Linked DNA regions of Macaca fascicularis. The protein of the gene in region 1 interacts with the protein of each later gene in a biochemical or structural test. Links are inferred from orthologs where the notes say so. Each region holds a gene or a part of one and is shown in the gene's direction. Other genes may lie near its edges. The genes, in order: UBC, RNF125, DHX15, USP20, TRIM32, ASCC3 and PCNA.

Region 1 (3,955 bases):
AATAGGTTGTGGTAAAAATTTAAAAACCTGGCTGGTGATTCTTTTCTCCCCACTTCTTTTATCAAAATAGAATTGCCCTGTAGAATTACATTTCATATTTGACACCCTACCCTGCCCTGAAATAGGGCTGGGATTCTATTCCTGTCTTTTAAAACCTTCGGTTTAAATGGGTCCGATTATTGAATGGATCCTGATTACAATAATCGTACCCATTGAAACCAGAGAAATTTCTAGGCCTCCCTGTTGAAACCAAGTAGGACCTTTCCATACCCGGCCCTCAGAATGTACACGAAGGTGAAAGAACAGTCTAGAAGGATGTCGTTCCCTCAGCCTTGGGTTCCAGCTAAAAAAAAAAAACTGTGTGGGGTTTCCCCCTCACTTTTCCAAATTTAACCTGGACACCAGCTCCTCTGCAGTGTCTCCCCTCGAAAGTTCTCGAGCGTTCCCCAGCTTTAGGGCCGCGCCCGGCCTGAGATCTGCTGAGTCATTGTCCTTGTCCCGCGGCCCGCAGCGGGGGAGGGGCGCGGCACCGGGGAGCCCCCGCGACCGGGCTGGGAAGCTCAGGAAGACTGAGGGGGGCTGAGCAAAGAAAGCCCCGTCATTATCTCAAATGTGACCCAAAAATAAAGACCCGTCCGTCTCGCGGGGTGGGCCAGGGCGGGTCGCGAGGGAGGGGAGGGAGACCCCGACTCTGCGGGAGGCGCTCCGTCCGCGCCCCACGTCCGCCGAACGCGGGGTTCGCGACCCGAGGGGACCGCGGGGGCTGAGGGGAGGGGCCGCGGCTGAGGAACGCGGGCTGCCCACCCGCTCCTGGCGCCGCAGAGTCCGCACCGGGTTTTGGCGCCTCCCGCGGACGCCCCCTCCTCTCGGCGAGCGCCTCCACGTCATGGCCGCAGGGCGCAGCGAGCGCCCTGATTCTTCCGCTTGGGCGCTCAGGACGGCGGCCCGCTGCCCACCAGACTCAGTCCCAGAACCCCAGTCTCAGCAGGAGGACATTTTGGGACGGGACTTGGGTGACTGTAGGGCACTGGTTTTCTTTCCAGAGACCGGAACGGGCGAGCAAAAGTAGTCCCTTCTCGGCGATTCTGCGGAGGAATTTCCTTGGGGCGGTGAACGCCGATGACTATATAAGGACGCGCCGGGTGTGGCGCAGCTAGTTCCGTCGCAGCCGGGAGTGGGATCGCAGTTCTTGTTTGTGTGTCGGTGTCATCGCCACTTGGTGAGCAGAGGGCTGCTGGGCCGGCCATGGCTTTCGTGGCCGCTGGGCCGCTCGGTGGGATGGAGGGGGGCCGACGCCGCGGGATGAGAGGCCGCCGAGGGCTGTAGTCTGGGTCCGCGAGCAAGGTGCCCCGAGCAGCGGGTGGGAGGGGAGCGCAGCAAAATGGCGGCTGTTCCCGGCTCTTGAATGGAAGACGGTTGTGAGGCGGGCTGTGAGGTTGTTGAAACAAGGTGGGGGGCATGGTTTGCGGCAAGAACCCAAGGCCTTGAGGTTTTCGCTAATGCGGGAACGCTCTTATTCTGGTGAGGTGGGCTGGGGCACCATTTGGGGACCTTGATGTGAAGTCTGTCACTGACCGGAGAACTCGCTTTGTCGTCTGTTGCGGGGGCGGCAGTTAATGGCGGTGCCACTTGGCAGTGCACCCGTAGCTTGAGGAGCGCGCGCCCTCGCAGTGTCGTGACGTCATCCGTTCTGTTGGCTCATAATGTGGGGTGGGGCCACCTGCCGGTAGGTGTGCAGTAGGCTTTTCTTCGTCGCAGGACGCAGGGTTGGGGCCTAGGGTAGGCCCTCCTGAGTCGACAGGGGCCTGACCTCTGGTGAGGGGAGGGATAAGTGAGGCGTCAGTTTCTTTGGTCAGTTCTATGTTCCTATTTTCTTAAGTAGCTGAAGTCTGAGTTTTAAACTATGCGTTCGGGGTTGGCGAGTGTATTTTGTGAAGTTTCTTAGGTATCTTTTAAATTGTAATCATTTGGGTGAATATAACATATAGTTTAAGTATTAGGAAGATTAGTACATTGTCTGCTAAATGCTGGTGGTTTTTGGCTCTTTTGTTAGACAATGCAGATCTTCGTGAAGACCCTGACTGGCAAGACCATCACCCTTGAGGTTGAGCCCAGTGACACCATTGAGAATGTCAAGGCAAAGATCCAAGATAAGGAAGGCATTCCTCCCGACCAGCAGAGGCTGATCTTTGCCGGAAAGCAGCTGGAAGATGGGCGCACCCTGTCTGACTACAACATCCAGAAAGAGTCCACCCTGCACCTCGTGCTCCGCCTCAGAGGTGGGATGCAGATCTTCGTGAAGACCCTGACTGGCAAGACCATCACCCTCGAGGTCGAGCCCAGTGACACCATCGAGAACGTCAAAGCAAAGATCCAAGACAAGGAAGGCATCCCTCCTGACCAGCAGAGGTTGATCTTTGCCGGGAAACAGCTGGAAGATGGACGCACCCTGTCTGACTACAACATCCAGAAAGAGTCTACCCTGCACCTGGTGCTCCGCCTCAGAGGTGGGATGCAGATCTTCGTGAAGACCCTCACTGGCAAGACCATCACCCTCGAGGTGGAGCCCAGTGACACCATCGAGAATGTCAAGGCAAAGATCCAGGACAAGGAAGGCATCCCTCCTGACCAGCAGAGGTTGATCTTTGCTGGGAAACAGCTGGAAGATGGGCGCACCCTGTCTGACTACAACATCCAGAAAGAGTCCACCCTGCACCTGGTGCTCCGTCTCAGAGGTGGGATGCAGATCTTCGTGAAGACCCTGACTGGCAAGACCATCACCCTTGAGGTGGAGCCCAGTGACACTATTGAAAATGTCAAGGCAAAGATCCAGGACAAGGAGGGCATCCCTCCTGACCAGCAGAGGTTGATCTTTGCTGGAAAGCAGCTGGAAGATGGGCGCACCCTGTCTGACTACAACATCCAGAAAGAGTCCACCCTGCACCTCGTGCTCCGTCTCAGAGGTGGGATGCAGATATTCGTGAAGACCCTGACTGGCAAGACCATCACCCTCGAGGTGGAGCCCAGCGACACCATTGAGAATGTCAAGGCAAAGATCCAGGATAAGGAAGGCATCCCTCCTGACCAGCAGAGGTTGATCTTTGCTGGGAAACAGCTGGAAGATGGGCGCACCCTGTCTGACTACAACATCCAGAAAGAGTCCACCCTGCACCTGGTGCTCCGCCTCAGAGGTGGGATGCAGATCTTCGTGAAGACCCTCACTGGCAAGACCATCACCCTTGAGGTGGAGCCCAGCGACACCATTGAGAATGTCAAGGCAAAGATCCAGGACAAGGAAGGCATCCCTCCTGACCAGCAGAGGTTGATCTTTGCTGGGAAACAGCTGGAAGATGGGCGCACCCTGTCTGACTACAACATCCAGAAAGAGTCCACCCTGCACCTGGTGCTCCGCCTCAGAGGTGGGATGCAGATCTTCGTGAAGACCCTCACTGGCAAGACCATCACCCTTGAGGTGGAGCCCAGCGACACCATTGAGAATGTCAAGGCAAAGATCCAGGACAAGGAAGGCATCCCTCCTGACCAGCAGAGGTTGATCTTTGCTGGGAAACAGCTGGAAGATGGACGCACCCTGTCTGACTACAACATCCAGAAAGAGTCCACTCTGCACTTGGTCCTGCGCTTGAGGGGGGGTGTCTAAGTTTCCCCTTTTAAGGTTTCAACAAATTTCATTGCACTTTTCTTTCAATAAAGTTGTTGCATTCCCAACTGGTGTGGTTTTTTAAAAGTTAAGGTTATTTTGCATTAGACTGGGTGAAGGGGATCAAGGTTTTCAGTTTACAAATGTTGCTGTGGTAACAGTGAAATGTCAGTGAAGGGGTTGACCTTAATATAGTACGAACTGTAGAAGGTGGGTGCAAATAAAAGCCGGCTTCAAGACCAGATTGGCCAATGTGGTGAAACCCTATGTCTACTGCAAATACAAAAAGGCAGGTGT
Region 2 (4,389 bases), on another chromosome or scaffold:
CCTAATTAAAAGTAAAGCCTGGGGTAAACTGGATGAAGTTTACGGCCTGTTAAATACATACATGTATTATATGCGTTATTATATCCCATGTGTTACATTATATATTATTGTATATGTGTATTATATACTATGTACTATTCTTACAACTGTATGCAAATCTATAATTACCTCAAAGTAAAGTTTTGTTTTTGTTTTTTTGTTTTTTTGTTTTGTTTTGTTTTTTGTTTTTTGTTTTTTTTTGAGACGGAGTCTCGCTCTGTCGCCCAGGCTGGAGTGCAGTGGCGCGATCTCGGCTCACTGCAAGCTCCGCCTCCCGGGTTCACGCCATTCTCCTGCCTCAGCCTCCCGAGGAGCTGGGACTACAGGCGCCCACAACCGCGCCCGGCTAATTTTTTGTATTTTTAGTAGAGACGGGGTTTCACCGTGGTCTCGATCTCCTGACCTTGTGATCCGCCCGCCTCGGCCTCCCAAAGTGCTGGGATTACAGGCGTGAGCCACCGCGCCCAGCCTTGTTTTTGTTTTTTAAAGTAAGTTCTGTGAGAACTGGGATTTTGTTTGCTTGTTGACAGTTGTGTCTCCATCACCAGAACTGAGTCTGGCGTGCAGTGGGCACGAAATAAGTCTTCGAAAAAAGTGTGAATTAACGCCCGGCTAATTTTTGCATTGTTAGCAGAGACGGGGTTTCATCATGTTGGCCAGGCTGGTCTCGAACTCCTGACCTCAAGCGATCCACCTGCCTCGGCCTACCCAAAGTGTTGGAATTACAGGCGTGAGCCACCGCGCCCGGCTGATCACATTTAAAGGGCGGGATGGGGAGAGTACAAACAACAGAGGAAATCCTGAGCCGCAGAGGAAACTGGAGACGGCAGGGTTTAGCACTAGAATATCTGTAAGAGAGGTAGGATTGGAATCTGAATCTCCAGAACTCTTTCCACTACCCAGGCTCTCTCTCCATTAATGGACTATTGATTGGACGACAGAGTAATGATAGCACCGTCTTAGGAGACGTCCAATCATAGGTCATAGTTCAATGCAGCTTATTGTGATTACAACAGTGGAGGATGGTCCTTACAAGCGGCTGTTCTCTGATTACCATTAAGCATGGCCACGCCCGCACTTAACTTCTGACAGTGGGGAAAGAGGCTGTGTGTGACAGCTTGGAAGGTTTACTACTGCCTCAAGTCCTCTTCTCTGCAGTTGAGGTTTCAGGTTTCAATCCTCCCAATACCACAAGACAAAGCACCTGGCGGCTGCCGCCTCCGCCTCCGCGCCTTAACCTAGGCGGTTTGCCGAAGATTTCAGCCCCGCGGCCGCGCACTCGCCCTGCCCTAGACCAGGGTTGGGCGCATCGGCGGAGGTTGCTTCTTGGCTGCGCGAGCTGCGCGCGCTGGGAGGCGGCGATCGCAGCTGGGCCGGGACTTCCTTCCTCCACCGCACGACAACAAAACAACCCTGCAGCAGGCACTGAGTGCTTGGCAGCTGTCTGGGCGAGAGGCACAGCGATGGGCTCCGTGCTGAGCAGCGACAGCGGCAAATCGGCTCCCCCCTCTGCCACCCCGCGGGCCCTGGAGCGCAGGGGGGACCCGGAGTTGCCCGTCACGTCCTTCGATTGCGCCGTGTGCCTTGAGGTGTTACACCAGCCTGTCCGGACCCGCTGTGGCCACGTGTAAGTGCCAGGGGAGCTCGGTTTGGGCCCACCCCTAAGGAGGGCGATGTCGGGAAGCTGAGGGCATGGTGTGGGGAAGGAGGGGGACGGAAGACAGCGCCTTAGGAAACTGCTGCAGAGAGAAACCTGGACCCGTCGGGTGCGGGGCCACGGGGAAAACGCCGGTCGGAAGGTGACACAGGATTTCGGGAGGAGAAAAAAGAAACAATCGGGCCCTGCAGCCCCCTTGCGCTGCCTCCTCCCGAAGTCCAGGTGCGGAGCTCCAGAGAAGGGGATCCAGGCACGGGTCCCGCCCAGAGCCAGGGCTCGCCAACAGGGGAGGGTGCTCTTGGCTGGAGAACGAGCGCTCGCCCGGGCACGAAAAAGAAACGAGCTCCAACTGCAAGGCAGGGGCTCCCTCAAAGCGCAGGTACCCCGCTGAACACGGTGGAACAGGCTGCGCTTCCCTCTGCCCCAGAAACTCGGGTCCGTTTTGTTTTGCTGGAGCTGTGCACGTGTTCCCAGAATGCCCACAGAGGCTCGTCTTAAGCAAACAAGGATCTGTGCAAAGTGTTTTTTCCACCCCCACCCCTGCTACCCTTTCCCAACACAGACACCCATCCCCTCAAAGAGCAAGTCAAACTGGAGCTTCCGAGTGACTTTCCACAAGTCGTTAGAGTTTAACAACCTGCTAGGGTGGGGCTTGGACGTTAGCCGCAAGCCCCTGAATGTACTCCTCCAAAACCCAGCCACAACGTGACAGGAGGTGACAGACTACCTGCTTTACACGCCGTCTCTCCAAACCGGCAGAAATTACAGAGTAAAATAACTTTCTCAAAACGGCATAGTACTTAGCTAAAACTCACAGTTGGTGCAAAGCCGTGGTCGTTTCTAAGAAGAGTTTAAAAACAAAGTTCCTATATAAAATTGGCACATGCTTAATGTGTGCTTGAGTAACTGGTGAAGTTGGATCTGTGAATTCGTGCTGTTTACTTTGTGTGTGTGTGTGTGTGTGTGTGTGTGTGTATGAGAGAGAGAGAGAGAGAGAGAGATAGTCTGACTCTGTCGCCCAGGCTGGAGTGCGGTGGCGGTGGCAGGATCTCGGCTTACTGCAACCTCCACCCACTGCAACCTCTGTCTCCCCGCCTCAAGTGATCCTCCTGCCTCAGCCTCCCGAGTTGCTGGGATTACAGGCGCCCACGACCACACCCTACTAGTTTTTGAATTTTGAGTAGAGATGGGGTTTCACCATGTTGGCCAGGCTGGTCTTGAACTCCTGACCTCAATTGATCCACCCACCTCGGCCTCCCAAAGTGTTGGGATTAAAGGTGTGAGACACTGCACCCAGCCTTCTCTCTTTGGTTTGAATTTTGTTCGTGGATGTGTGTGTGTGTGTGTGTCTGCACGGATCAGAAGCGGAAGCCTACTTAATGTCCTTTGAAGGGTGACTATAGTATGATGAAGCCCTGTGTGATACCACAGTGGCATGTACTTGTATTTGGCTTAGCAGGAAGAAAGAAATGCATTTGGCTTAGCAGGAAGAAAGAAATAGCATTATTGCTTCTGAGGATCACTTTTGAAAGGATTTAGGTAGTCCTTAAAAACATGTTGTGCACTTGCATTCAGAAGTTTTGAGGCCGGGCATGGTGGCTCACACCTGGAATCCTTAGGTGATCCTTAATACCTATAGCCTTGTATCTGAAAAGCAGTTTTCACCACTGCCCAACCTGTGAGCCAGGGAAAAAAGTGTGCAGCCTGCACAATGTATAAATAAAGAGTGCTTTGGGCATTATTTCGTAGCTGTATTTTCGAGGCCTGTTGTTTCAGCTTTGTTCTTAAAACTCGAGGCTTAAATTTACCCTCCTTTCTGATTACTAATGTTGCTCAGCTGTCCAGATGTAGCTCATTAACGTAATATCCACAGGCCAATCTGGAAGCCAAGATGGGCTGTGTGAGTCATAAAATATATTGATTATTTTAGGGCAATAACAGCCTAAAGATACCTCCATTGAAATTGAATCATTATTAGCCTTAAAACTTTGAAGTTGTGCAAAACATAAACAGTGGGCATTTTGAAGATTCTTTTTGGAATAGACCGCTTTGCTGCTAATTCAATTATCTGACTGGAGATTGTTTTCCTGTTTTGGACTTTGAATAGTATAACTTACCATTTACAATATTTTTCCTTCTACTAAAGGATAATGTAAGTTTGCAAAATGTTCAATTTTTTGTTTAATCTTTTTCTTTGTTAAAGTGAATAGGAAACTAGCAACTGGAAAAATAACCATAAAATAGCATTACAAGGGCTGAACAAATTGCCTTTCCTCTCTTTACTGTTCTTTGTTTTGACAAATCTATGTCCATTGTTCTAGCTGTGGGCAGAATTTCCATATTCCTCCTTTTGGCAAACTTACTTGGGCCCCTTCCACTTTATAAATGTTAACCAGAGTCTTTTCTGCTGTAGAGATTATGAGCGTTGTTAATGCCATTTGTACATTCTAAATGAATTACTCTTTTCCATTGAAATTAAGTTGGAAAATGAATAAATGCAAATGAACCTTCTGTATTTTATTATCCCATATTGAAGCTACAGTTTCAGACATATTGAACTAGGTGGTTTATGCTGATTTTCAAGTCAAACAAGTTTAATAGTAACAGCAGTACCTTGACTGAATATGTACAGAGCACTTTATAAGTTGTATTGTGATGCAGTAGTAACTGGCCCTTATAGAAAGCTGGATTTG
Region 3 (4,358 bases), on another chromosome or scaffold:
AATGGCTTAAACCTGGGGGGCGGAGGTTGCAGTGAGCTGAGATCGTGCCACTGTCCCCCAGCCTGGACGACAGAGTAAGACTCTGTCTCAAAACAAACACACAAACCCCTCATCAGTTGCAATATTTAAGTTGTGTTTAATCCTAGCAATTGCAGTCCCGAGACTTTGATAAGAACCAGAGTATGATCTTCCACGGCAGCCAAACCAAGTCATTCCATGAACAACAGAGATCACCCTGCTGCAGATAGTCCACAGATCTTTTCTTGTGCATTTCTTCTGGGAACGAATGCAACTGAGGAAGCAGAGATATTCTAGGGGGAGAGATCTACAAAATTCCTTAGAGTCATCTTGCCCCACCTCCTTGTTACGGCTTTAGGTACAGCCCTTATGGCCGTGAGATTTAACCTTCCGCAGCCTTTGCGTCCACGTCTACAAAATAACAACTACCTTGCAGGGTGTTATTTAACACTGTGAAAGTGCATTAATAGGCACAGAAAGAAAAACAAAAAAACAAACATAAAAGCAAATTGTGCCCTCACTGCGAATTCTCTGTATTCTAGCTAAAAACATCTATAGCTTGAGTGCATGGGTGTCTGTGCTGGGCAAGAAAAGGGCAAACTAGATCATGACAAGCCTTAAGATTTTCTCACTTTAGTTTCCTCACTGCAATTGATTTTTTTTTTTTTTCCCAAGTCGGAGTCTTGTTCTGTCGCCTAGGCTGGAGTGCACTGGCGTGATCTCATCGCAATCTCTGCCTCCCAGGTTCAAGCGATTCTCCTGCCTCAGCCTACCGAGTAGCTCGGATTACAGGCGTGCGCCACCACGCCCGGCTCATTTTTGTATTTTTAGTAGAGACGGGGTTTCACTATGTTGGCCAGGCTGGTCTCGAACTCCTGACCTCGTGATCCGCCTGCCTCGATCTCCCAAAGTGTTGGGATTACAGGCGTGAACCACCGCGCGCGGTCCCTCACTGCAACTGAGAGTAGCGGGGTGGCCTCAAGTTCCAGATCTGGAGTTACTAAATAGCTGGGTTCCAATCCCGGCTCTGCCACTTATTAGTTGTACGATCTTCGTTTCTCAACCTCTCTGGGTCTGAGATTCCCTTAAAGCCGGGGTAATAGAGATGAATAGGATTTCCTAACTAGGACTAGACTTCCTCAATTTCTCGACTCAGAGGGGCAAGGATAGACTGAAATGGAAAGTGAAGGCCTTCAGGCTTTTCCTAACAGCCGCTCCTAGGAGGGGAAAGCTACGGGAAGAGGGAGGAGACGCAAGAAAGGTCGGACCAATGAGGCAGCGGGCGGGACAGGAGTTCCCGCCTTTGGGCGGCGTGCGCGCGCACCTCGCTCACACGCACACTCGCACGCACGCACGCTGCGGAAGCGCGCGCGCGCGCAGGCCCAGCCCTCGTCGCCGCCGCCATTTTAGCTCCTGGTTCCGGCCGCACCGTGTGGGCTGTAGTAGCGGGAGGGGTGGGGGTCCTCCAGAGTTAAGTGGCTGTCCTCCACTGTGCCCATACAGCGGCTAGCTTTCTTCCTTAATAACCGCCCGTTCGAAGAGTGCGAGGATGTCCAAGCGGCACCGGTTGGACCTAGGGGAGGATTACCCCTCTGGCAAGAAGCGTGCGGGGACCGATGGGTAAGCCAGGCCGGGGGCGCGAGGCAGCAGCTCGGGCTTTGTTGGGGTCCTGGCAGGGAGCGGGCTGGGACTGGCCTGGCCGAGCGGGTCCTGGAGCCCGAGCCTTTGTTTCCTTCTGGGCTGGGTTCACCAGCGGCGGGTCGGAGAAGCGCGGCGCCCGTTCGGCCCGGCAAGGGCGCGGGGAGTTGCGTGCGGCGGGGCCGGTGCCCAACCCAGTCCGGAGGGTGGAGAGGCCTGCAGTGGCCATGAGGGCGCCTCCTCCCCCAGGCCGAACCGAGCAGGAGTCACTTTCGAGGGCGTGGGGCGGGAGTGAACCGCGGACCTCGTGGCCTCGGTTCCCGAGGAAGGCCTGGATCCGGGGGAGAGAGTGGGGGAGGGCGCGGCGGGAGTATTCGCTTCCAAGGGCACCAGGCACTTCCCAGGCAGAGGGGCCATGGGGAGGGCCTGAGTGGGGGCGCGGCCAGGCACTCCAGACGGGAAAGGCGGAGGGCGGAAAGTGAGAGCAGCGCGTGGATCCTAATGTAGGCTGGGGTGGGGGTGGCGGGAGTTGAGAGAAGCCAGCAAATGGGGAGTTCTCTGGGGAAGTGGAGTAGAGGACTTGCCGGGAGAAAGGAAGGGTGGAGTAAAATACCTGGTGGGCTGGAAGGCTGGTGTTTTGGGGCGACTGAGTTTATAGTTTGGCGGGAGAGAGCGTGTCTCGGTCCATTCAAACACTTTAAAGTAGATACTAGCAAACTTCCGCCCTCTGCCTACGCTCCCGCCATCTCCTCTATTTCCTGCTTTGGTTAAAAGTGGTTACCGAACATCATCCCATGGGGAGGGATTAGAAGGCATTCTTTTTTTTTTTTTTTCATCATTTATTTTCTGTGCATGTCCCACTTTTCTTCATAAGTAGCTTTTGAAATACAGGGATCATGTTCAAAACGTGTTTTTAGTATTGATGGCGAAACACCGCCCATGTGGAGGTTGAGAGTTGAAATACTTACACAAACTCATGGTGTTCCAGATTCCTTTCCTTAAAGATACAGAGGAATTTAACAGTTAACTTAAGCAGTTTTATGAAAATCTGTTTCTTTCCCGTGTGTGTTTTCATTGCTGAAGTACAAAGACCTATTTGGATAATTCAGGCAAAACCCACAAAAGCCCGAATATCCAAATACTTTGCATAATTTTATCATTTTATTGTGTACTTGTGATACGGAATCACTGTGTCAAGTCCCCTTGTCTAGCTTTTTTGAAATTTTCAGCTGAAGTTCTTCATTGAAATTGATTTCTAGGGATATGTTTAGTGTCATTGTAGAGTATAAGCCAGGATAGGATGTACTTTGAGACCTTCCCATATGTTGAATTATTCAATACAAAGCAAAAGCATGTACAGTTTTGTGAGTTGTTTAGTTGGCGATATTAGGCATTGTAAAAAGACAATGACACTGTAAGACAGACTCTCTTTAGGCTATCACTGTCCCCCACCGTTACCCCCCACAAAACGTTAAATGCCTCTGAGCTGTATGTCACAGACTCTCAGAGCTGGGAGCAACTTAAAAAAGACTCTACAGCTCCACTCAAGGAATGAGAAATGGAGAACAGTTAAGGTGGCTTGGGCAAGTTTACAGCAGGATCTGGAACCCTGCCTTTATCATTTTCACTCAGCAGCACACAGTTCAGTACTGTAGTTAAGACTCATTACAGCCTATTTTAATGACATTTATAATGGGTTGGTAAAGTAGGGAACACTTAGTTCTTGATTTCTCTGAAGCAAAAATAAATTGCTGTCATCTGGAACTGATGTCTCTAACAGGAGGTCAGATTGGAACAAAATATTCTGGGAGGGAATGAATGAATTCATTTGTATTTGTGCATATGTGCACCATTTAAAATGCTTCCCTTGGGATTAGTGGTCCCACCATATGTATGTGCAATTGTTTACTATCTCTTGCAAAAACAGATACCCTTAGTAAACATGTCGACTTTCGGGGTCAAATGGTAGCTTTATGATTCCCTTGTATATTATTTAGAATTTGCCTGTGGATAAAGGCGAGTTCATCTTTGGAATAATGCTCAAGTTATAAGAAATTGTAGAGGGAAGTTTTAATACTAATTTCTATGTCATTTGAGTGCCATTTATCATAGAACTGGCTTTATTTAACAGTGGACTTACAGTGTTTATCAGCATCAGGATTTTTTTTCATACTCCATAATTTTAAGTCACTTGTTGACTGCCATGCAATCCTGCAGATTTTTTTTTTTACCCTGATAGTCAGCAAGTGGTTTTATCTGAGAGCATAAGCTTGTCAGTCTTACAAACTCCACTGCCAGATAGGATGTCTCCAATACTGAGAAGAGAAGGTAATTCAGTGGGAGATTTCACTTACATTAATGTTCCCAACTATATAAGTCTTTATTTTATTCTTGACATATTTTAACTTTGAAATCAGGTGAAGTTATTATAGGTTTCTGTTGCGTATTCTGGCCTCATTTCTTCTTTTTGTCAACCCACAGAGTCTTCACTATACAGTTATTACCAAGAGACAACTTACTGTTGAAGTATGGAAAAAAGTTTTCCATGTTAGGGACGTTTTTCATTTTGATGTTGGTTTTTGATATTACCACCTGATAAGACTTTTTCCTGTTACTTATGGGAAAGTAATGCTAATATGTTAATACTGTGATAACATTTGTAGAGCACACACATTTTCACTACAATCCTGTATGGTAGATGA
Region 4 (3,886 bases), on another chromosome or scaffold:
GAATCGCTTGTACCTGGGAGACGGAAGTTTCAGATTGTGCCATTGCACTCCAGCCTGGGCAACAGAGTGAGACTCTGTCTCAAGAAAAAAAAAAAAAAAAGAAAGGAAAGGAGTCTTCTGCGGGGGACTAGATGGCGAGGTGTCTAGGAGGACTTTTCCTGGTGAGAGGGTTGGCTTGAGTAAGTGAAGGCTCGTCGCCCGGGTGCTGTTGAGCTTAAAGAACCAGTAGATGGATCCCGTTCTCAGCCTTGGCTGTGTTATTTTGGGCTGAATCATTCTTTACTGTGGGGCCATCCTATGCATTGTAGGATGTTTAGCAGCATCCTTGGCCTCTACTCACTAGTGCTAGTGACAACCAAAATGACCTCCAGTCATTCAGACTTCTGTGAAAGAGCTGAGTGCAGGTGAGGCTCCTGGCACACTCCCTCCCTGCCACACTACTTCTAACAGGGTTAGGACGCGCTCCACTCACAGGGAAGGCCCGGCGAGAGACACTGAGGGACGCCCGTGCTTTGTGGCCATTAGGAAGTGATTCTGCTGCCTGGGCACAGTGGCTTATGCCTGTGATCCCAGCACTTTGGGAGGCCGAGGCAGGTGGATCACTTGAGCCCAGGAGTTCAAGACCAACCTGGCCAACATGGCGAAACCCCATCTCTACCAAAAATACAAAAATAACCTGGGCACGGTGGTGTGTACCTGTAGTCCCCGCTACCTGGAGGGCTGAGTGAGGTGGGAGGATCACCTAAGCCTGGGAGGTTGAAGCTGCAGTGAGCTGTGATCGTGCCACTGCACCCCAGCCTGGGCAATAGAGACCCTGTCTCAAAACAAAAACAAAAAAGATACTGTCAGGGCTGGGCATAGTGGTGTGCACTTGTGGTCCAACCTACTCAGGAGGCTGAGGTGGGAGGATCACTTGAGCCCAGGAGGTCAAGGCTGCAGTGAACCATGATTGCGCCGCTGCACTCCCGCCTGGGCACAGAGTGAGACCCCCCCCATCTCAAAAAAGAAAAGAAAAAAGAAAAAGAAAATGCTCCTGTCAGAAGGAGAGCTGCCTCTCTGAGCAGATAGGCACATTCTATTCAACCGGGGAAAATTAGCATCTGCCAGGCCAGGTGCAGTGGTTCATGCCTGTAATCCCAGCACTTTTGAGAGGCCGATGTGGGCGGATCACCTGAGGTCAGGAGTTCAAGACCAGCCTGGCCAACGTAGTGAAACCCCATCTCTACTAAAAATACAAAAGTAGCCAGGTGGTGGCGCGCACCTGTAGTCCTAGCTACTCAAAAGAGGCTGAGGTGGGAGAATCGCTTGAACCTGGGAGGCAGAGGTTACAGTGAGCCGAGATCGTGCCATTGCACTCCAGCCTGGGTGACAGAGTGAGACTCCCTCTCAAAAAGTAGCATCTCCCTTGTGGTCTCAGTTGGGTCAAACAGTTATTGAAGAGACCCACAAAATGTTGCCACTGTCCTCTCTGAGCGATGGGTGTGTTCATTTTGTTTGAGCTTGTCTGGGGGTTCTGATTTTTCACCTTGAGCATCTGGTGTTTTTGTAAGACTCTTGGGTGAGGGCCTGGGGCGGGGGCATTTGGGAAATCCTTGCTGAAGGTAAATAGAGGCTGACCTGCCCTCTGTCCCCTCCCGTCCTTGCCCACCTGCCCAGCTGAACAAGGCCTTCCAGGCCGAGGAGTCGCCGGGCGTCATCTACTGCATCAGCATGCAGTGGTTCCGGGAGTGGGAGGCGTTCGTCAAGGGGAAGGACAACGGTGAGCTGAGGGGGGCCTGGCACTTACCTGCCCCGGGGGCCTCCTGGGAGATGGGATGCTGGCAGGGGAGGGCCGGCACACGGGGGCTCCTGCAGGCCCCGTACCTTCCCCCAGGTGCCACCCATCCAGGGTGGACAGAGAGCATGGGGCTCTGCCAGTCCCCAGTGGGGATCGCTGTCCCCACCCAGAGGCAGGAAGCCGCTCCTGCTCTGCGCCCCTCCCCTTCTCCACTCCCTGCCGTGCCCAGCAAGCTGCTCTGCCCTCCTGCAAGGCCCTTTCCTCAGGGGAGCGTGTTGCCCGAAATGACAGATTTGTCATCCAACTTGTTGGATCTACAGAGATGGAGACAGGCCCCATCACAAGGATGCTCCCAGGGCCCCCCAGACCCCCAGTGAGGAACAGCAGAGCCAGCCATGGGTTGCCTGTGGCTTTGGGGCCCGGCAGGGTGGGCAGACCCCATGGTCCTGCTCACGGGACCCTTTGTGTGGAGCACAAGCACCCACCTGTGCTCGGGAAGGAAGGCCCCACTGCCATCCCGCTGCTCAGGGAAGGTGCCAGGGCCACCCTGAGGCACCTCTGGTGGTGGCCGAGGCCTTCAGCGTGGCTGTGGTTGAGAACGTAGCTCCGGAACCCCCACCCTGGCCTGGACGGTGGCCTTGCCTTCTACCAGCTGTGACCTGAGTGGTTACTTCACCTGCCCAGGCCTCGGCTCTGTCTCTGTAAACCTCTGTCTTGTCCTGTGGCTGCTGAGGCTAAATGAGACAGCTGGGCAGAGGGGAAGGGGCGTGGTGAGTGGCAGCTGCCAGCAGAGATGAGGGCATGGGCCGCCCACCGCAGTTCCCGCGGCCAGCACAGAGTCTGAGACGATCTCGTGCATCCTGGAAATTCCCTCTGCTGGGTCCTCAGACTGCCGCAGAGGAGCATTGGGTGGCCCAGGCACCTCCTTTAGAGACTTCTCGCTGACCCCCAGGCCTGGGGTGGCCTCACTTGGGATGGCTCTGCTGCTGCGGAGGGTGGAGGGTGTGGCAGGGGCTGAACCCGAGCCTGCTGTGTCTGTTCCAGAGCCCCCCGGGCCCATTGACAACAGCAGGATTGCACAGGTCAAAGGAAGCGGCCACGTCCAGCTGAAGCAGGGTGAGTTCCCCCAGCGTCAGCCAGGCTCCTCTCTGCGCTTCCTGGCTGCCAGGCTGCTGCCCAGCCCCGTCCTTCCAGGAGCCCCCTTCCCACCTGTCTTAGAGTCAGGCTGAGATGTCCACCCGAGTCCAGGCCCAGGCGGCTGAGAGATGGCGCAAGGGGCTTGGTCTCTGCTTGTGTCCCCCAGGTCCCACCCCTCCGCCTGCTGCTGGCCTGGCCCACCCTGCTGTTTATGTCAGCGCCACTCCCAGGAACGAGGGACACAGCCAGAAATAACACATCTCCGGGGCCCTTAGCAGGACGGACGTTCCTCTGGGAAATCCTGGTTTCCATCTGACGGCTTTGCATAGATGCCCTGGTTGCCGTCCTCCCCCTTTGGGGTCTGGCCCTGCGGAGCCCCCACTGCCCAGGCCAGTGGCTTCCTTGAGGCGGCAAAGGTGAGCCCAGGGATGCCTCTCGTGCCCTGCAGGAGCTGACTACGGGCAGATTTCAGAGGAGACCTGGAACTACCTGAACAGCCTGTACGGAGGCGGCCCCGAGATCGCCATCCGCCAGAGTGTGGTGCAGCCGCCGGGCCCGGAGAGCCTGCACGGGGAGCAGAAGATCGAAGCCGAGACCCGGGCAGTGTGATTTGCTGGGCTAGTCTGTAAGTGGCCCTGGCCGGTCCCTCCACGGCACTCTGGGTCCTCTCCTCCCTCTCCAGAGACCCTCATGTGTCCCTTTGAGCATCCAAAGGGCAGGTCCCTGAAGGAGCCTTCCTGGAGGCTGTAGGGAGGCCCTGGACGTGCCCAGCCCCACTGCTGAGTGCCCGTGTCCCCACAGCCCTGTGTGCCCCACCCCGCGGAAGGCGTGTTTGTGCCCAGAAGAGAGGCCGGGCCACTGCAGAACCCCGCTGTGTAAAGAGGCAGAAAAGTTGGTTTGGTTCGCAGTGAGTAACGCTGCAACTGGAAAACGTGCACTTCAGGCTTGTTTAAACGACCAAGACTCTGTGAC
Region 5 (4,408 bases), on another chromosome or scaffold:
AATATACATACATATATAAGATGTATATGTGTAAGACTATGAACAGTCCTAAATTTATACTTTGGGCTGATAACTCTGGTTTTCAGGGAAAAAAAAAAAAAAACAAGTGCAAAGTCTCCCTAACTAGTCTAAGTGAGAAATCATTTGGCACCACCTCTCCCTTATCCCCTACCTGCTAATTGCAATTTTTCAAATATAGTTATCATTAAGTACAAACTACCATAATCTTGGTTTATCTTCTTGGCAAACTTCACTTAGAAATTTAGAAAATGGGGAGAAAGAGTAAACAAGGTTAAGAGTGGGTTCTCAGATAGAATTGGGTACAAATCTGGGCGCCAATACTTAGGCACAGGTGGCCTTGTTAGGTGTAGGTTAACCATCAGCTGCCTTATCTCATGAGGTCCTTATGAGGATTTAGTGAGCTATGCACCTGAAGTCCTTAGCTGTAGCCAGACAGCAAGTGTTCAAAGATGTTAGTCATTGTTTTTGGTTACTGTTTTATCATTGTGCAGGGTCACATAGCTAAGGGGAATTTCAAATCCAAGACCATCCTACTTCAAACTCCTTTGTGCTCCTAAGCTGTACAGTATAATCACCTTGGAGAATAGGTGATTGGCCCCAAACTACTTCGGGGAGTGCAGGTCGTGGCTAGTCAGTCCTGTATCAGACCTCGTCCTTGCCAGATGCCTAGTGCCCTAGATTCCCTCAAATCTCAGGCCAGGTCACCTCCCAACTGGTAAGACTCCTCCACCTTCACCTCTGACTCCCCAAAACTACACTTGGTTTGGATTCCCGGGTACCTTCAGCCTGCAGGGACAGGGGCTGCAGCGTGTACTCCCCATGTCTGCCTCTGCTGTCGGCCTCCCAGCTGAGTAGGCAAAACGTTCCTTTACAGAGCAATGTGTTCATGGATAAACTTGTCTCTAGTGCAGCGCTCTATCAGAGCACAGGACATGGGGCCAAAGCACTGCCCTTCCTAGGGAGTCCCGGTTCTCGACCTCCCCAGAATGGAAGTTTGATTCTTCCGTTGGCCCATTTCTCAGATGGAAAAACAGATTCAGCAAGGTGCCAACGCTTTGTTGAGGACTACCCTGGAGGCTACAGTTTTGTGAAAGGGTAGACATTTGGACTGGAGTCAGATACGCATTCTGGCTTATCTCCTGACTTACTGAGTGAACTTGAGCAGGTCTCTTTCGCCCATGGGTCTCGGTTTCTTCATCTGCACAAAGGCGACGGAACACTGGATTACGTGTCGCTAAGGCCCCGGGTTCTCAGAGGAAAGCTCACCCCTGCAGGGCCGCCTGGCCCCGCGCGCTGGGGCCCGCTGCACTACAAGCCCCAGCATGCCTCGGGAGGCGGGGCTCAGTGACGGACAGGGAGCTCTGCGAATTGGCGCCCGGCAAAGGGCGCTCAACGGCGCGTGCGCAGAGGACGGCGGGCGGGTGGGCTGGCGGCGGTGGACTCGTCGGAGCTGCGGGCGGTCAGGTAGGGGGCGGGAAGGAGGGCTGGGGACTAGGGACCGCGGCCGAAGTCGTGGGCCGTGGCTCAGCGGCCGGTCGGGGGAACGTGCCGGCGTGCAGCGGCCGCGCCCGAATGGCAGGGTCTGGGGACCGGATCTGAGGGGCAGGACTAGGGTGGGGGTGGGGCTGCCAGGGGCAGGCTCGGGAGGGATTCGTGGGGCTGAGGAGATCCGCGGAGATGGAGCTGGGGGAGGGGAGCGAGGGGCTCTGAAGAGATATGCGGTGGCAGCATCTCGGGAGGTATGAGGTAATGTGGGGGCCCTGAGGAGGAACGGGGTGCAGCATGTGGGAGATGGGAAGGAATCAGGGCCCTGGAGGGACCTGGGTGCAGAATTTCAGAAATATGAAGGAACTGGGGGGCCCCGATGAGATTTGAGGGAATCTGGGGGCGCTAGGCATCTGGCAAGGATAGGGTGTAAGATGATAGGAGCAAGGTCTAGGGCGATTCTAAGTGCTATTGAGAAAGGGCTTTCGGAGTGGGCTGAGGGTGAGATAGAGGGGGTGGGGTGAGTTCTTGGGGGACTCTTGTTAGCAGGAAGAAGGGAGCTGGCTGAGTTGTGAAGGCAGCACATGACATTCAGTGCATAAGAGGAAGGAGCAGGGTTTGAGGGCGGCACAGTGCCTGATGGAATGCAGGAGATGGGGGTTCAGATTGAGGGAGAGCAGAAATCTGAAGTGAGGAATTAGGGCGTTGAACTGAGGTGCGGAGCTGAGTGCGGCAAAGATTTGGAAATAGGGATTAAAGGATCTGTGTCCGAGGGATTTGAGGCATATGAGTGAGGAATTGATGAGGGTTGCGTTATACAGCCCCAAAGATTGGAATTTGGTATTGTAAGAGGGTTGAGGACAGGGTTTGGAGAGGATTGAATCGTGGGGTGGAGATGTCCTAACTGGGCTATAGAATCAAAGGACACTGAGTAGATATGTGGATTGGTGTCTTGGGCTGCTAAAGAGATTTTCCTTAAATCGCTGCATGGGAGACGGGGGGAGTTTAGGGGACCCAAGGACCTAAAAGTAATGTATGAAACTCTGGATGAGTATATGAAGATGAGCAGAGTTCAGGTGTTCAGGAACAAAGTGATAAATCTTCAGTTCAGATATCCTGAAGGAGTGTGGTAATCCCTGTGAAGGGTAGAATCTTCTTCATTTATTAAACAAAGATCCGTTATCATAAGGCAGGTATGGTATTGCCACTAACTACACTCTGACCACCGCCTTCTCCCTCCCCCTCCCCCGGTCCACTGAAAGTGGTAGGCTTTGGGGAAGAAGAAATGGAACTATTCAAGGTCATCTGCCTAAGCCCTTTTTCCTTGTACTCCCAAGCTACCATAGCAGATAGAATGTGAGACCTCCAGGGGAATGAGTGGAATAATTTATCCTATATAAGATCCATTGCAGCTTGAAGGGGCAGTGGCTCTGTGAGTGAGATGTTTGGGCTCGGAGAGGGACAAAAAAAACAAAAAAATCAAACAACAACAAAAAAAGGGAACCCTTATGTATTGAGCATTTAGTCCTGTGCTAGACTGTAAAGCAGTGGTTCTTAATCAGGGGTGGCTTTGTCTCCTAGGAGACATTAGGCAATGTCTGGAGATGTTTTTTGGTTGTCACACTTAGGGTGGGGGATACTACTGGCCTCAAGTGGGTAGATTAAACATTAAATATAATGTTTTATGTTAATGTTAAACATTTGACAATGCATGGGATAAGCCCCTCCCCCCCAGTAAGGAATTATCCTGCCTAAAATGTCAGTAATGCCAAAGTTGAGGCACTCTGCCCTAGAATCAGATACCCTGGGTTCAAGTCCTAGCTCTATCTCTTCCTGACTTTGTGGCCTTGAATGAGTTACTTACCACCCAGTGCCTTGGCTGTTCATCTGTAAAATGGGGTTATGATAACAGGACCTATGTCACAGAATTGTTGTGAGGATTTAGTGAAGTAAATTAGCATGCCTAGGATCTGGCACATAGTAAGTTCTCAAAGTCTAGTAATTTTTAGTCTTGTATCTACTTCTTTACTCAGTTTTCATGACAGTCCTTCTAAGGACTGTATTCAGTTTTACACATGAGGAAACTAAGGCTTAGGAAGTGACTTGCCTAAGTTTTCATAGCTAGGAATGACACAGTTAAGCTCATACCCAGATCTCTGTAACTCTGTATTTTCCCACTTTCCTTGCTAGGACCCGCTTAGTCTTATTTTCTCAGCCCATTCCCCTCTAATGAAAACGAGGATTGCCCAGTGAGAATCACTGACTATCAGATTGAACTCTAAAGTTGGGGGATAAATCTCTCTGACTAGATTGGGAGGAGCCCTGGACTTTGTTCTTGGTTTGTTCTTAGACCAAGACCAGGGGCTAGATAAGGAGAGGAGCTTGAAGTTATCAGGCAGGATGAGGTGCAGCGGACTATGGGGTGAGGTATGGAGGCTGTTGGCTTGAAAAAAAAACCTCACAGCAGGGACTGAGGCTGAAGGCACAGCAGGGACTGAGGCTGAAGGCAGTCATACTTTGAAGGAGAGTAACTACTGTTGTGTATGGTCTCTTTTGGACTGCTTTTCCCTGGAACAGAATAGTAGCATTGGCTCTATCATTTCCAGGACTAGCTACAGCATTGCTGAAGCCAGTTCAGAAACAAAACTTGACTGTATCTGACAGCAAGACTTAGCTGGAATATCCATGCACATCCCTAAAAGAAAATATGTCATGGGAATTCAATCAGTCCTGTCTAAACTCCTTACTCTTTCTAATTTCCCATGTTACCTTGGACAAGCACTTGTCCTGTCAGCTTCAATCTATTAAAAATGCAAATGATTATCATTTGTTGAGTGCTTATTATGTGCGTTATCTTAGTGAATTCAGTCATCCTGCTAACAGTCTGGGTTTTATTCTTTGT
Region 6 (3,886 bases), on another chromosome or scaffold:
ATGTGAACTGCTGTTGATTGTGTGGTGACAGTTGTGAGGTGACTTTTTAGCTGCTGTAATTAGCCTTATGACAGAAGCAAAGTATTGATTGTGAACTAGAGACCAATTTTGGCAGTTCAGATTATTTACACCTCCACAGAAGCATTGTACAAAATCACTAATGAACAATAAATCTGCCATGAGCTGTTCAGCCACACCTGTTCTTTCAGCAGCAAAAATCCATTAAATGTTGAGGCCTAAAGAAAGACAGAGATCCATTTATATTTATGTGTCCAAATGATACCAATATTGTACTAATATGTGTATTTTAAATGGTGTATCTCTAATATGATTTATCAAACTTTATCATTTACCTTGGATAACATTCTGATAAATAATAAAAATAATGAGAAATAAGATAAATGTTTATTTTTCATAATATATATTGTTGAAATTGCATATATCTATATGGAATGACTGTATACCGTTGATGGAAAGGAAGCGTTTGTGTTGTATAAATCAATAGTAAATAACTAAAATACTTACACTTCCGTAGATATGGTATCTGCACAGCAGCTATACTTATGTACTATTTATTATACCTGTAGTGATTACTATATTTCTTTGAGTTTAGAAATATGATTGTGTAATAGCTTTATTTCTCATAGTTAGAATGTAAATAAAGTCAAGGTCATGTCAACATTTCCATTATAAACCTTGTTTCCCAGCCCATAAAAAGAAATTCTGCAGCTCACATTTCAAACAAGAAATTACAAAGCAGTTGAACTTTTTATATAAAATTTTTACATGTCTCTGACTGTTTTAAGAGAGTTGTGTAGACATAAATATATATTCTACTCATGGCATCTTATCAGCTTTTTGGAGCCTATGTAAAGCAACAACAACAACAAAAAAAACCTCATTTCAATATAAGCCAAGTGATTTATGTGGCTCTTTAATTATTTTTAAAGATTTGTTGTACAAAATTGCCTTCAGTCTTGTCACTCTGGTTTGTGTTGACCAGAGTCATCTCATCTTCTTTGTGTTGACTACCATGTCCCATTACTCAGATACTCATTCAGGCATAGTATTCTCTTCAGCCCCCTTCTACATTCTGTTGTCTGCCCTTCTCACACATATGCTTTTAGAAAAACAGAGGGAAAACTTTCTTCTGATTTATCTCTTAACCTGTTTACTGGTACAAACTCTACTAATTTTTCTATCACTGATAAAAATAAAAGGTACTTTTTGTGGTCTTTTTAGACATTTTCCATCACCTGGCAGGACTTGGTTTTCTCACCAGACCCCAGGACCAGTTAACTCTGTAATATCACTGCTTAGGCAATACAAATAGCTAAGAAACACAACTTAGCACAGAAAACTCAATCTAAGATTCAGTGTCTATGTATAGCTCTTAATGGAGAGTCTCAATCTTTAAGTTTCTCCTTCCTTGGCAGCTCAGAATAGAACTTGGACCCAGCATAATTAAATCTTTTCTGAGGCAATATACTCTCTAGGTAGGGCCATCAACTTTTCTTTTCCTATTAATCTGTCTAATATGCTGCCAGATCCGTGTAGTACCTGCAATAATGCCAGATTTCATGCCTAAATTGTTTCCATCATTAGTTTTCATGAATCCATTTGATATCCTACTGAAATTCATATTCTGGGGTTAAGTAGCTTTCCATTTTATTTCCCACAACTTTTCAACAGCAATTAGAAGCCACTCTCCCGCCAAACCTGTTTTGATATTTGTCTCATCAAGACGTCAAACTCGTCTTACTGCTTTGGAATTGATCGCCTTCCTGGCTACTGAAGAAGATCCAAAGCAGTGGTTAAACATGGATGAAAGAGAGGTAAGCACCATCTTTTATCTTCTACTACTTATACGTTTCAGGTTATATTGTATTAGAATGAACATTATGTATGTAATTATATTATAGGGAAAGAATAAATCCTTAATACCGCCACCTTACCACACTATTAATATTCTGATATAGTTTGTTCTAGTATAGTCCCACTTAATATTTATTTTGTATATTTGTATTTATATCTTTTTCCTTTAACATTATCACCTATGTATGTTGTAACATTCAACCATTTTCATATTCTTTTAGTATTCACTGCCCTCACTGAAGTTAAAATCAATTTTGCAAAGGTGGGGTTTTTAAAAATATATAATAATCTTTTTTTAATTTTAGGAAGCACTAACATATAAAAATTTAAAAACTGCTTTATCGTTTCCCTAAGTAATAACCACCAGTAAAATTTTAAATTATAATTTTTGTGTCTATGCAGTTATATTCCATTATGCAACTATCTCATAGTGGTTTTGTCCTGTAAGTTAATAATCATTCATCTTTATTATTGTAGATTTTTCTCTGTTTAAAATTATATTCTCAGTATAGAGTTCTAAAAATAGAATTAGTGGGTCAAATGATGTGAATATTTTTACAGCTTTTTCAGGTACACTGCTAATTACTTTCCAAAAGAACTGTACTTATTGGCGTCATCACCACTGATGTATGAGTTATCAGAAGTATATGAGAATAACAGTTTTACTGCATCCTCATTTGTTGCAACTTATTGATATATTATAGATAAAATATTATCTTAATGTATGCCTTGATTTTTGTATGGTTGAACTTTTTTTTTCATGTATTTACTAGTTGTCTTCTTTTTTCCTTGTTGCCTCTTCATTTCTTTGGTCTTTCATCTATTCCAGTACAGCACTTATTTTGTAGATTTGTGTGAGAGATTTGCCAAATTTAGAAAAATATATACGTATGTAAAATTTTATATATTACTTTTCTCCGTATATATGTATTTCTATACATATATACATATTAATCTTTTGCCTGCTGTATTAGGTAACTTTGCTAGTTTATTGCTTGTCTTCTTATCATGGTGTCTTTTTACGAATAGAAGACTTTGCATTTTATGTAATCCAGTTTGTTAGTATGGTCCTTTGTGATTCTTTATACGACATCTAAATATAGATATTCCTCCTCCTTTCTATAGATTTAATATATAGTGATTGTTCTTTCTTACACTTTTCCAGTTTTGAAAAATATTTTCCTAAATGGAGTTACAAAGAAAACAGATGAAATCAGTAGCATAATTGTTGAGTTGTGATCTCGCCACCTACCCTCTTCCGTGTTCCCACTTTGTGATCTCATGCAGGCTAAAGAAGAGCAGTGCTCTTCAGCATCAGTAAAAAACAATGTTCCAAACCCACTGGTGTCCAGGATTAACAGTTTGCATATTTCTCCCCTTCTACTTCTCATGACTCATTTAGAGTTAGTAGGACCGTTGGATAGTACTCTATATCTTACATTATTGTGTAATGGTTAACTGATATTTCAGAATGGTTTTGCTTAGTTCCAAGATGACCTTATTCACTAACAGACTCATAAATTAGCTTAATATGCGGACTATCAAATGACTGCTTGAAGTAGAGTAATAGCGATCATTTTATCTTTTAAATTTATCTTTATTTACTTAATGTTACTTGTATGGATATACCAGATATTTAAGAAACTAATTTATGTTCAAAATAATGTTGTTAAAAGATTTTTTTATCCTGTATTGTTTAATTGATATCTGAATAATCATCCTATTGTGTCTAAGGCAGTGTCATAACTTAGAAGACAAATGATGAAAAATAGATGTACAAAATATTGATGACTCTGTTTATATGCAGTATCTCTCTAGGCTTAATTTTATTTTATATGTTATCCTAAAAGTCTTCCAAATGGACACTTTTCTTTGAAGTCAAGATACAATGTACAAACCTACTAAACACACTTTGGGATGTTTGCTTAAAGTATATAGACATTGTGCATTTAGCACATATGTGACTCACATTAACTTCAAATGTGAACCTCATGTGCTAATATCAGGTATA
Region 7 (4,437 bases), on another chromosome or scaffold:
CTCACGCCTGTAATCCCAGCACTTTGGGAGGCCAAAGCGGGTGGATCACCTGAGGTCAGGTGTTCGAGACCAGCTTGGCCAACATGGTGAAACCCCCGTCTCTACTAAAAATGCAAAAATTAGCCGGGTGTAGTGGTAGGCACCTGTAATCCCAGCTACTTGGGAGGCTGAGACAGGAGAATTGCTTGAACCTGGGAGGCGGAGGTTTCAGTGAGCCGAGATAGTGCCACTGCAGTCCAGCCGGGGCAACAGAGCAAGACTCCGTCTCAAAAAAAAAAAAATTGAATTTTTGACACAGATGAGCAATGATTAAAAAATGAGATTGCTAATATCTGTAGTTAGGAAAATAAAGATAAATGAGCATGTTCATACACAGTCTTGGCTAGAATGTAAATTGCAAACTTTTAGAGATTTAGTAACATTTATCAAAAATTTAGCCGGGCATGGTGGCACATGCCTGTAATCCCAGCACTTTGGGAGGCTGAGGCGGGTGATCACCTGAGGTCGGGAGTTTGAGACCAGCCTGGCCAACATGGTGAAACCCCGTCTCTACTAAAAAAAAAAAAAAAAAAAAAAAAAAAAAAATTAGTCGGGCGCGGTGGTAGGCGCCTGTAATCCCAGCTACTTGGGAGGCTGAGGCAGGAGAATCATTTGAACCTGGGAGGCGGAGGTTGCAGTGAGCCGAGATCGCGCCACTGCACTCCAGCCTGAATGACAGAGCAGGACTCCATCTCAAAAAAAAAGAAAGAAAGAAAAGAAAAGAAAAAAAATTAAATGTGTACGCTCTTTGACTCAGCTGTATTACTTCAAGGAGTTGATAGCACCAAAATTGCCTAAGTGCTCAAAGGTGTTTGTAATTAACAGGAGATTGATAAGTTACATACATGTGATGCTATCTTTTAAAGAGGTACTGATATAAAAAAGATGTACGTGGCATAAAATTAAATGTACTTTATTAAGTACTTTTTCGAAGTGTTTACGGAATGAGTGCATTTTGAAAAAAAAAAGTGTATTCGAACTTTCAAAAAAGCTTTAAAAGCTTTATACAAGGAACGATTGAGTGATTATAAGAGCTGGCAGTGGAATGTTAAGAGGTGAGAGGGAGCTAAGTTTAACATAACTCTTTATGGTGTGACACTTAGGAGCGCATCACTTCTGTAATTGAAAAATAAAGTGCATATTTGCAGCAGCTGTACTCTTCAGGCTACAAGGAGGCTTTTCCTCCCGGTAGGCTGGATTTGCTTTTCACTTTCACTTTCGTGGCTGGAAACTTTCTACCCACGGAGCTGGAGGCTGAGGAGGCACCATAAAGCTGGGGCTTGACGAACCGGGGCCTGGGCCGGATCCCCACATATGCCCGGACTTGTTCAGTGGTCAGGTTCAGGAGTCAGGCGAAGAGGCGGGGAGACCTGCGGGACGCTGCCCCGCCCTGCACCCGCTTCCTCCAATGTATGTCCTAGGGGGCGGGCCTCGCGGGGAGCATCGGCACGATTGGCCCTAAATTCTAACCCGCCCAGGCTGTGGGCCGGGCAGCGTGGTGACGTCGCAACGCGGCGCAGGGTAAGAGCGCGCGCTGGCGGACGCGGCGGCATTAAACGGTTGCAGGCGTAGCAGACTGGTAGTTCTGTTTCTAGGTCTCAGCTTCTCGTCACGACGTTCGCCCGCTCGCTCTGAGGCTCCTGAAGCGGAAACCGGCTAGACTTTCCTCCTTCCCGCCTGCCTGTAGCCGCGTTGCTGCCACTCCGCCACCATGTTCGAGGCGCGCCTGGTCCAGGGCTCCATCCTGAAGAAGGTGTTGGAGGCCCTCAAGGACCTCATCAACGAGGCCTGCTGGGATATTAGCTCCAGCGGCGTAAATCTGCAGAGCATGGACTCGTCCCACGTCTCCTTGGTGCAGCTCACCCTGCGGTCTGAGGGCTTCGACACCTACCGCTGCGACCGCAACCTGGCTATGGGCGTGAACCTCACCAGGTGAGCCTCGCGGCGCCGAGAAACCGGCCCCGGCCCACCCCCACCTCCGGGGTTTGGCGGGATCGCTTCCGAGCCGAGCCCTCATTGGCTGGCGTGGACCATCCGCACCTTCTCATTGGCCTGCCATGCAGGGGGGTGGGGCCCAGCTGAGCGCGCGGTTCGGAAAAGCCCGCGCTGGCTGCTGCGCGAACCTGCTTTTTCGCGCCAAAGTCACAAAGCGGGTGGTGGCGGGAAAATGACTGGTTTTTCTGCAGTGCCAGGAACACTGCTCCAGAGCTTTTGCTCACTAAATCCTGTTGGCCTTGAATGGACGCTTTAGTTGTGGCTTTTTTGTTTCCGAGACGGTCTCGATGTGTTGGCCCGGGCTGGTCTCCAACTTCTGGGCTCAGGCGATCCTCCCGGCTCAGTCGCGATTGACTTTAAATGCTTTATAATGTGCCCTTGCGAGAAAAGTGTCAGCCTGTCATCCTACTTAGTGGCAGGAGATTGTTTCTATCCAGAAGGGAAACTGCTGGTGGTATTTTAGTATAAATACTGCCAGATGCATCCCAAAATGTCTGCATTAATATTCGCATCCTCCAGCAGTGCAATTACCCTCCACCAGTTCTGAGACGGCCTATGGGTGAGAGTGGTAACCCCTTCTAACTGCATTAGAAATACAGACCTTCAGTAGATGGTGTTGATTTTAAACCATGTGTCTCCTGTCTTCTAGTATGTCCAAAATACTAAAATGCGCCGGCAATGAAGATATCATTACACTAAGGGCTGAAGATAATGCGGATACCTTGGCGCTAGTATTTGAAGCACCCAGTAAGTCGTACCTTTTTACTGAGTTATGAAGCTACAGAAGATCGAAACTCTGTGCCAGTGTTTCTCAACAGCATTTGCTTTTTTTTGGTAGACCAGGAGAAAGTTTCAGACTATGAAATGAAGTTGATGGATTTGGATGTTGAACAACTTGGAATTCCAGTGAGTATCAGTTTCTGATTGTAGCGACTGCTGTACACAGGCATGATAGTTATGTCATAGAATGTTGTTTATTTTTACAGACAGGGTCTTCCTCTTTTCCCCAGGCTGGAGTGCAGTGGTGCCATATAGCTCACTGTAACCTGGGACTCCTGGGCTCAAGCAATCCACTTAGTCTCCTAAGTGGCTAGGAAGGACTACAGATCTGTCCCACCACGCCTGGCTAATTTTTTTATTTTTGTGTGTGGGTGTGGGGGCAGTCTTGCCCAGGCTGGTCTGGAACTCCTGGCCTCAATGATCCTCCTCCGTCAAGATAAGTTAATATAATTTAAGCCTACTTCATAACAGAACTTTTTCTAGAAACATATCTACTGGTGCATGTTTTAAAGAGATTTTAGTATTTGGATAGTTGTTTACCACAAGTCTAAAACTCACTGGTTAAATTTATTGTTTACTGCCAGTTGTCTATTTGCATTAATTTCCATGAACCTCTTTTAAAATTTGCTTCCTTCTAGGATGGTTGGTTTTGTTTTGTTTTGTTTTGTTTTTGAGGCGGAGTATCGCTCTGTCGCCCAGGCTGGAGTGCTGTGGCCAGATCTCAGCTCACTGCAAGCTCCGCCACCCAGGTTTACGCCATTCTCCTGCCTCAGCTTCCCGAGTAGCTGGGACTACAGGCGCCCACCACCTCGCCCGGCTAGTTTTTTTTTTTTTTTTTTTTTTTGTATTTTTTAGTAGAGACGGGGTTTCACCAGGTTAGCCAGGATGGTCTCGATCTCCTGACCTTGTGATCCGCCTGTCTCGGCCTTCCAAAGTGCTGGGATTACAGGCTTGAGCCACCGCGCCCGGCCCGATGCTTGGTTTTTATTAAGTGGGTTTGAAAGCTATCTTAGAAGAAATGTATCCAGGTTAGGTTTATAAACACCAAAGGAGAGAAGAAATGTTGGAATGTTGAAAATGCCTAATATCATATTCTCTCGTTTTCTTTTAGAAAATAGTTAGACCTGCTTGCGCCGTCATCATTTCTGTGGCATACTCTAATGTTCTCTTACTTTATCCCTGGAGGATGAGGAGGAGGAGGCGCTTGTTCCCTGGGCAGTGCATTTAATAGCCATTTATTTTTTTTGAGTGGAGTTTGTTAAGAAATTACACGAGTCAGTAATCAGAAAATCTTGATTCTGAGTTGTTTAGATGTTGCCTTTTAAGAAAGTGAGGGTGCCAAATCATTAAATTTCTAACAATTAACTTTTGGAAAATTTTTGTTCTTAATAGGAACAAGAGTACAGCTGTGTAGTAAAGATGCCTTCTGGTGAATTTGCACGTATATGCCGAGATCTCAGCCATATTGGAGATGCTGTTGTAATTTCCTGTGCAAAAGACGGCGTGAAATTTTCTGCAAGTGGAGAACTTGGAAATGGAAACATTAAATTGTCACAGACAAGTAATGTCGATAAAGAGGAGGAAGCTGTAAGTAGTTTTTAAGTAAAAAAAATAGTTTGAAGA

Evidence for each region.
Region 2: the proteins of UBC (region 1) and RNF125 form a complex in vitro, tested with the Homo sapiens proteins (3 studies listed by BioGRID, with this or other methods). The link is inferred for Macaca fascicularis from reciprocal best matches to the Homo sapiens genes UBC and RNF125.
Region 3: the proteins of UBC (region 1) and DHX15 form a complex in vitro, tested with the Homo sapiens proteins (2 studies listed by BioGRID). The link is inferred for Macaca fascicularis from reciprocal best matches to the Homo sapiens genes UBC and DHX15.
Region 4: the proteins of UBC (region 1) and USP20 are reported together in a solved structure, tested with the Homo sapiens proteins (2 studies listed by BioGRID, with this or other methods). The link is inferred for Macaca fascicularis from reciprocal best matches to the Homo sapiens genes UBC and USP20.
Region 5: the proteins of UBC (region 1) and TRIM32 form a complex in vitro, tested with the Homo sapiens proteins (3 studies listed by BioGRID, with this or other methods). The link is inferred for Macaca fascicularis from reciprocal best matches to the Homo sapiens genes UBC and TRIM32.
Region 6: the proteins of UBC (region 1) and ASCC3 form a complex in vitro, tested with the Homo sapiens proteins (2 studies listed by BioGRID). The link is inferred for Macaca fascicularis from reciprocal best matches to the Homo sapiens genes UBC and ASCC3.
Region 7: the proteins of UBC (region 1) and PCNA form a complex in vitro, tested with the Homo sapiens proteins (2 studies listed by BioGRID). The link is inferred for Macaca fascicularis from reciprocal best matches to the Homo sapiens genes UBC and PCNA.

What each region holds. Positions count from the first base shown.
Region 1 is NC_088385.1:132,077,541-132,081,495, reverse strand, and holds UBC (polyubiquitin-C), read left to right. Parts: upstream 1-1,155; 5' UTR 1,156-1,219; intron 1,220-2,053; 5' UTR 2,054-2,056; coding exon 2,057-3,658; 3' UTR 3,659-3,726; downstream 3,727-3,955.
Region 2 is NC_088392.1:57,852,035-57,856,423, reverse strand, and holds the start of RNF125 (E3 ubiquitin-protein ligase RNF125), read left to right. Parts: upstream 1-1,463; 5' UTR 1,464-1,502; coding exon 1,503-1,666; intron 1,667-4,389. UniProt on the Homo sapiens protein: E3 ubiquitin-protein ligase that mediates ubiquitination and subsequent proteasomal degradation of target proteins, such as RIGI, MAVS/IPS1, IFIH1/MDA5, JAK1 and p53/TP53.
Region 3 is NC_088379.1:23,697,949-23,702,306, reverse strand, and holds the start of DHX15 (ATP-dependent RNA helicase DHX15), read left to right. Parts: upstream 1-1,418; 5' UTR 1,419-1,567; coding exon 1,568-1,638; intron 1,639-4,358.
Region 4 is NC_088389.1:14,027,725-14,031,610, reverse strand, and holds part of USP20 (ubiquitin carboxyl-terminal hydrolase 20), read left to right. Parts: intron 1-1,656; coding exon 1,657-1,759; intron 1,760-2,821; coding exon 2,822-2,893; intron 2,894-3,362; coding exon 3,363-3,523; 3' UTR 3,524-3,886.
Region 5 is NC_088389.1:41,394,127-41,398,534, reverse strand, and holds the start of TRIM32 (E3 ubiquitin-protein ligase TRIM32), read left to right. Parts: upstream 1-1,436; 5' UTR 1,437-1,485; exon of another isoform or gene 1,486-1,767; intron 1,768-4,408. UniProt on the Homo sapiens protein: E3 ubiquitin ligase that plays a role in various biological processes including neural stem cell differentiation, innate immunity, inflammatory resonse and autophagy.
Region 6 is NC_088378.1:74,695,206-74,699,091, forward strand, and holds part of ASCC3 (activating signal cointegrator 1 complex subunit 3), read left to right. Parts: intron 1-1,692; coding exon 1,693-1,835; intron 1,836-3,886. UniProt on the Homo sapiens protein: ATPase involved both in DNA repair and rescue of stalled ribosomes. 3'-5' DNA helicase involved in repair of alkylated DNA: promotes DNA unwinding to generate single-stranded substrate needed for ALKBH3, enabling ALKBH3 to process alkylated N3-methylcytosine (3mC) within double-stranded regions.
Region 7 is NC_088384.1:82,160,524-82,164,960, forward strand, and holds the start of PCNA (proliferating cell nuclear antigen), read left to right. Parts: upstream 1-1,590; 5' UTR 1,591-1,750; coding exon 1,751-1,971; intron 1,972-2,683; coding exon 2,684-2,781; intron 2,782-2,872; coding exon 2,873-2,940; intron 2,941-4,206; coding exon 4,207-4,401; intron 4,402-4,437. UniProt on the Homo sapiens protein: Auxiliary protein of DNA polymerase delta and epsilon, is involved in the control of eukaryotic DNA replication by increasing the polymerase's processibility during elongation of the leading strand.